Linked DNA regions of Drosophila melanogaster. The protein of the gene in region 1 purifies or fractionates together with the protein of each later gene. This does not show direct contact. Each region holds a gene or a part of one and is shown in the gene's direction. Other genes may lie near its edges. The genes, in order: His4r and retinin.

Region 1 (3,638 bases):
TTCTATGATCCCATGACTTCCGGGCAAAATAGATCCATGGATTCCAATCAGACAGCAGACTAAATGAAGACAATGGGAAAATAGATTAATAATCTTTCTAGTTTTAGATTAGCACTGATCTATATTTAAAGTATATATTTGAGCAGTCCTAAAACATGAGTAAAGACTTTCAAAAAGTTAAAACGTAGTTAAAGATCAAAGTTAATGGAATTATCGGTTGGAAGTGCTCAAAGGGTGGGCAAATAAAGTCGAGCCTATTTGGGGAATAAGACTGAAAGGGAGGGCGCTCAGCGAGCTCTTTGTGGGCGCTATCCTTTGTACACATATCGCATGCCCAGAAGTAGCAGGAGTAGCGTCCTAAGCTGGGGCCTCTGCCATTGAAAGCCACCCCATTTGGGCACGGAATTAGCCCCACTGGCCACACACCAGCCTTTGAGTGGGCATGGCCCCAATGCACGGATATGCAGTGCACAGTGGGCCTGCAGTAAGGTTTCTTGAAAATCTATTTACATTCTTTAATTCGATTTAATCTGGGATCCTCATCCAAATACCGAAATTTTTGTTGATAAAAATTAAAATGATAATTCACTTTTTAAATGTGTAAATACAAAAAATTTAATTTTGAAAACGTTTATTGCAACGAGCCTGCGATATATTGATTGATATTTCTTGACCATTGGCTAAGCAAACTGTTTTCAATCCTTTGAAACACTTTTCGTCCCACTGTCCTTTAGGTAATCGGATCGCTGGCCATGTATGTGTGTGTTCGTAAGCGTGCATGCTTTATAGTAAAGTAGATACATAAGCAGGCACATTATGCACACAGAAAGGGATGGGTTTAAAGTGGCGCTTGTGCGGAAAAAGGAAACAGCAGCAGCAGAAACAACAACAACAACAGCAGCAACAGGGAAGAGAGCGCACTGCGCCACAGAAAGAGAGAGGGCTATGGCGAGCGAAAGAGAGGGAGGCCGGTGGAGCAAAAGGGTGGGAGAAACCAGAACCTGCCATACAACAAGTTCCTAATGCAGCAAAATCCATTCAAAGAAATGCTCAGCGCACACACACATGGATTAAGATTGGGAATTAGGTATCCGATCGATTTATACCGAGTATGCGTTTGGCGCTCAACATATGAATTCGTAGTACCCACTGTCAACAATTCTTACGATATTTTACTACATTTGTGTAGTACAATTGTTGGTGCTTTAATAGAGTATCTAGTGTATACATTATTCACTTCACAAATAGATTTGATTCCTAGCATTTACATTCGTTATACCTAATTTCTGAAAATTTAAGATGTTCTGATGTGTTGGTTAATAGGACAAAGCTATCACAAAGCCTATACACCCTATATATGAACTTTTCAAGCGCCATGTGATATTAATAAAGTAATAGCATTACGCACCCCATATCATCAAAAATCACACGCACGAATGGTTATAAATCGAAGTCGGCTTGCATTACAGAGGAAAATCGTAAGGCAGAGACAAAATATAATATTATGTACATATGTACATAATAAAGCGACTGGGAATTAAGGCGCCAATAAGTATGCACCCACACACTCGCAGTGCAATACATACCCAGCGTTAGCTGCGCCGTTAGATAAAGCAGATCGTATTTGGACATTGTTATCGCCTGTGCAAACTTGTTTACAGCACTCGTTGCGTATACGTAACGCGAATATTTCGATGTTTCGGGGACAGGTGCAGTGGAATGGAATAACTGGGTACTGTTAATATTATTTTGGCACAGAGTTCCTGTTGTCTTCGCACTTTTCGAGTACAGCACTAAGTGTGTATGTGTGGGTGGCCGAGTGTGTGTGCGGTGCCTTGGCAGCGATTTTGCTGGCCACACGCCGTTTGCATGCGCATTTCCGCGGGTTTTACTCGACTTTTCGCCGCGACTTAATTTTAAGCTAGAGGGGCACAGTTGAAAAAGTATATGCGCGCTGCACTTTTTCGTTTTTCGCAGGTCTGCGGGCCTGTTTTCAAGCGATTTTAGTGCGAGCACGTCTTTCGGTTCGATTAAATCTTTTTTGTCGCAACGGGGCGGCGATAGCGATGGCCGATAGGCGATAACTGACCAGGGCTGGTAGTGAGACAATAGAAATACTAGATACGCGCATTTTGCGAAAGGTATTTTGAGGTGTGCGAGATCTGGTCACGCTCACAAGCAATTTTCTGGAGATTTCTTGAAGTGAGTTTTGTTGCTGAGAAATTTAAGTAAATAATAGAAGAATCGGTCAACAAAGTTTTTTTGTGCATAAACATAAAAAAAATAATTGGAGACCATTATTTTGTATGAAAACAGACTTATTAACAACAGTTTTCACCTGTCAAATGAACGTTTACCTTTCACCAAACATGGCGTCGCTTTACAGTTTATTGCGTCTTCTCTTCTTTTCAGCCAACTTTACGAAGCAACTGAGAAATGACTGGTCGTGGAAAGGGAGGCAAAGGATTGGGAAAGGGGGGCGCCAAGCGTCATCGTAAGGTGCTTCGTGATAACATCCAGGGTATCACCAAGCCTGCTATTCGCCGTTTGGCTCGTCGCGGCGGTGTTAAGCGTATCTCTGGCTTGATTTACGAGGAAACTCGCGGTGTGCTAAAGGTACGTTCTGGCGAAACGAAGGGAAAGTGGTGAAAAACTGATTAATTTCTCGGAAAATTCACAGGTATTCCTTGAGAACGTTATCCGTGACGCTGTCACCTACACCGAGCACGCCAAGCGCAAGACCGTGACCGCCATGGACGTGGTCTATGCCCTCAAGCGCCAGGGACGCACCCTTTACGGATTTGGCGGTTAAGCACGCCCTCTAACCTCCACATAATAAATAACCATGGAGTTAACTTAACTACATTCAAAATACTTGATCCAATTGAATCTTAATCAGTAGTATTCAACGCAAACTTAACCGAACGCAAATATTTTATAATTTCACAATATACGGACTAAATAAATCAAAAGATATCACATAGAGAACTCAATATCATGCATATGTGCATTTTGACTTGGGGCGGTTAATCATCCGAAAATAAGGTCCAACAAACTCGCTTAGGGAGCACACAAATAATAAATCTTTAATGGAAATTAGTAAGACCAAAGTATATTTTTGTACATTTTTGGTGCAGCTTGAATTCGCAGATGGCAGGACGTGCAAAAAGGAGCAGGTTCCCTTTTCTACTGCTACTGCCCGGGAGTATGACTGCAAATTTAGCTCTCCCAGTGGGGATCCTATCGAATCGAGTTGGCTGCTTTGTTGTGGGTGTGATGGTGGTGGTAGTGGTGTTGTTGTTGTTACTGCTCGGCGTATCAGCCAGCTGTGGTGTCGCTGCTCCGGCTGCGAATGGCTGCGGGGATTTTGAATGGAGGAACCTAAAGTCACGACCCCTAGGCGCTCTGCTCCCGCTGCTTCTGGAGCTGCAGGGACATGTAGACATTGGCCGGGGATATGACATTTTGGTCGCCGAAATCGCCAGAGCCTCCACCACCGCCGGCATCTCCGTCGCCGGCCTCTTCTGTGAGTGACATGGACTCCGATTGCTTGCGCCGCACAAAGACATGCATGGAGGAGTATTTCGAGCTACTAAGTAACGTGGAGTCCGTCGCCTCCGTCTCGTAGTCTGAGTTCT
Region 2 (3,578 bases), on another chromosome or scaffold:
GCGGGACGAGCTGGTAGTTTCTGCAGGATCATTCAGATTAAAAGGTGGTGGAAACAAGGTGCTGGAGTGGCAGCCCTTCGTCCTGTGGCTTGCCAACCTGCTGCTGAACTACGCTGGCGATATACTGGGCAACCTGCTCTTGGGTAGTCTTCCATTGGAGCCACTGTGCAATACCGCAGATGTCATGCTCAGTTCGTTGATCTGGTGAGTGGGATCTATTGCGCTCAATAAATTAAAATTACATAGTTCACTGGTGCGTGAGGAACATATTTATTTTGTTTATATGAAGCTTTGTTTCCACTCAAAAAGGTACTGCATCTTTTACTGTCCCTTTGACCTGGCCCACGCCGTGACCAGCACTTTGGCCTTTCGCATCCTGGCCACCGCCATGTCTACGATTAGCCAGGTTCAGTTGATCGATCGAGGAGTCCATTTGGCGGCACAGGTCTACGGAAATGCTCCAATCCCGATGCTAGTGGTTGGCACCGTCATGGGCAGTGGAGCCGAAGTACTGAAACCGGTGGCGAGTCTTTTAATCAATAGATGTCAACACAACCAGATGGCATACCTGAAGTTGAGCAAGTCTGTTACACTAAACTAATAAATAATGAAATCGAAAACTTAATATTTCCTTTTTTACAGCACTTCAAAAGTTGCACTTTTCATCTCCCTCCTCTTCATGTTGGAAGTCTATAAAAGTCCAATAATTATGGGCATTAACAGGCATCAACTTATGGTCTACATACTGGTGATGACCACCGCCTTTAAGTTCCTGTCGCTGTGCTATCGAACGGATCATATAATTTGGCTATTGGAGCAACATATACGGTACACCCTCTTTGGTGGCCTCTCCAGGGATTTAACCAAGTTCTTCCAACGCCTGCTGGAGCCTAAAGTCCAGCGAACGTGGGCGTATGCGGAATTTGATTGAGACCCTCGTGTGCATTGCGCAATCGTATCAAACTACACGCTCTCCACATCCCCGCCAGATTGGGTGGTTAGGGTGTTGGGGCTGCAGGTCTAAGCGGCTTAAGTTACCGCCCCGTCCAGCCAAGCGATTGGATCACTGCAGCAGATGTCTCGCTTGATCGGGTTACGTATGCTAATCAGCTTAGAATCGCCCACTGGTGGTCAGAGGAGCGTTGGAGCAGTGGGCAAAGCGAAGGAAGTGCTCGGTTACGGCCACAGGTTAGTGGATGCTACAGTGTGCTCACCCAGCTGTCGAGTAAAATTCATGCCTGACTATAAATTCGTGCATTTCAATAAAAACTATAAAACTAAACAATGAAATGATTTCTTGAATTTGCTAGATATGAATATAAATAGTCTTAATATGAGTTAAGTAATTCCAAACTGTTTTTAAAATATTCCTCATAATATATTTTTTATCAGAAAGCATGCATTGTTTAATCTGCCCTTTTCCATGTTATATTTCCATGTTCGAACAGATAACTTACCAACATGTCACTCCAAAAAAAAGTTAATACCCGCAAGAATGTGAAACCAAGTCCGAATAAGACTAAGAAGAATCCATCTGCCATCATCTCGATCCTCTGTCCAGATGGCGATAAGCCCAATAAGGAAGCCAAGCCCAAGAAGAACGGCGGGTCGGAAGAATTTCAGGCCAAAGAATGTCCCCGAACGAAAAGCTTCAAGCCACCAGAAGAGAGGCGAATATTTCTGGAGCAGGAGGTGGTTCCCATTCTAATGGAGGGCATGTTGGGATTGGCCCGGGAAATGCCCCGCGATCCCATCGGTTATCTGCAGAAGTTTTGGCTTGACGACAAGCACAAGTGTGACATTCCATTGCCGCAGAATATTCTTTAACATATAGCTCTGATGTAACCCAATCAAATTTCAAATTGTCAGCTAATTAAATGTTTTTGATTCGACGTTAAGCTTACGCAATGATGCATTTCTTTGATCAGTCAGGCGAAGAGATTCTGTACCGATTTAAGGGCTATAAAAGCAGATATTCCAATCTCAAACTGCATCATTCATTTCACAGTTTGCGGATCTAAAGGAAGACTGCTATAATCATGTCTAGATTGGTGAATTATTTCTTACTTTCATTGAGGGAAAAATTTATTCAATATATTCAACATTTCAGTTCCTGCCCGTCTTGGCCATTGTGCTGGTCTCCATCGGAGCTTCGCATACAGCCAGCTTGGAGTGGCCCTCGAATCTTGTGGCTCTCAGTTCGGTCAAGTCCTCGCAGCTGCTTCCGATTGCCAGCGAGGATTCCGTTGAGTTGGCCGATGGCAGTTCGGGGTCCGTCAGCTCATCCGCTGCCCAGCCGGAAGATCAATCCCAGGAGGAGGCGGAAGAGCAACAGGTCTCCTCCGCATCCAGTGGCAGTGCCGATCCGATTAGTGGCCGTCTTGTCTCTGCCGGAATTCCCGTCTCTGTGCCTCTTCCTCTGATCCTGGCCGCTCGTAATGGACTACGAACCGTATTGACCATCCAGGAGCCAGCCGTGGCCAAGGTGGGCGAGGTGGTGCAGCACGTGCCCACTGCCGTTTCGCATCAGACCCAGACGGTGGTGCACGATCACCGCCGATTGGTCACACCCATTGTGGCACCCGCTGTTCGCACCACCCAGGTGATTCGCCAGCAGCCACCACTTCTGTGGAGCGTGGCCTCCGATCCCCGAGTGGTTCTCATCCGCAACTAAGGATCCATTCAACAGATTAACACGATGAACTCGCCAAAGCTATGATACTTCTATTCTTAACTCCCTTTCTGGACCTAATAACCCACAAAAAGCTTTCTCCTCTACGTCTTCTTTCTTCTGCCATTTTCTGTAGATTTCTTCTGTAGCGTGCTTTCAATAAAGATTTCGCATTTGCATTTAAAAGGTTTTTGTGCTTTGCTTATTGGTTATTCTTTTCCTACCTCATTTCCAAAATAAACCAAAAAGAAGGGTATATTATGGCTTGAGTAACTTTTTAAAACTTCCTCTTCTCAATCAAATTTGCTAGCCCAGTCAAATCTATGTCTTTACCCATCTTATGTAAAATTATTGTCCTGCATTTACGTATTACGAACCCATTGCATTTTCACTTATCTGGCTCGGATTCTTGGGCGTTGTTGGTGCGACAGGAAATCAATAAAGTTAACACAGAGACCAGCCCACGACCACAATAAATATGCCACATCCGCCCCCCTGTTCCCAGCGAAATCTCAAATTGTGTGCAATCAAGATCTCTGGAGGATTAGGCTGGCACAGGGTCTGGGTTAACGCCCAAGCTCATGTTCTCATGTTCAAGGGCTGGGACCATTCATTTAGAATGGCTAGTCCATTCTCCAATCTTGAGTACTCAGCTCGACTATAAAAGCGGAGGATGGAATGGCCAACGAACAACAGTCAAGTGAAGTGAACTGAAGCAAGAAGATGTCACAGAGAATGGTAAGCAAAGAGGAATTAGGCTTCTTAATAATATTTTAAATGTAAAATAAACAATTTTTGTCCTTTAGTACTTATCCTTTGCTCTCTTACTTTGCCTTTTGGCACTTGGAAATGCCGATCTGCAATTGTATCATCCCCTGATGACCCTGCACCACCCACCAACTTTTGC

Evidence for each region.
Region 2: the proteins of His4r (region 1) and retinin purify together in Drosophila melanogaster (affinity purification with mass spectrometry, with the first as the bait; one large-scale study listed by BioGRID). This does not show direct contact.

The regions. Positions count from the first base shown.
Region 1 is NT_033777.3:14,623,614-14,627,251, forward strand, and holds His4r (histone H4 replacement), read left to right. Parts: upstream 1-2,141; 5' UTR 2,142-2,202; exon of another isoform or gene 2,203-2,412; 5' UTR 2,413-2,436; coding exon 2,437-2,616; intron 2,617-2,680; coding exon 2,681-2,812; 3' UTR 2,813-2,991; downstream 2,992-3,638. Other genes in the region: put (punt), read right to left, coding at 1-59, 1,587-1,632; CG7886 (uncharacterized protein), read right to left, coding at 3,397-3,638. UniProt on the Drosophila melanogaster protein: Core component of nucleosome. Nucleosomes wrap and compact DNA into chromatin, limiting DNA accessibility to the cellular machineries which require DNA as a template.
Region 2 is NT_037436.4:16,329,941-16,333,518, forward strand, and holds retinin (retinin), read left to right. Parts: upstream 1-1,992; 5' UTR 1,993-2,039; coding exon 2,040-2,051; intron 2,052-2,110; coding exon 2,111-2,674; 3' UTR 2,675-2,849; downstream 2,850-3,578. Other genes in the region: CG33061 (uncharacterized protein), read left to right, coding at 1-204, 310-582, 643-931; CG33060 (uncharacterized protein), read left to right, coding at 1,462-1,827; CG13056 (uncharacterized protein), read left to right, coding at 3,395-3,409, 3,478-3,578.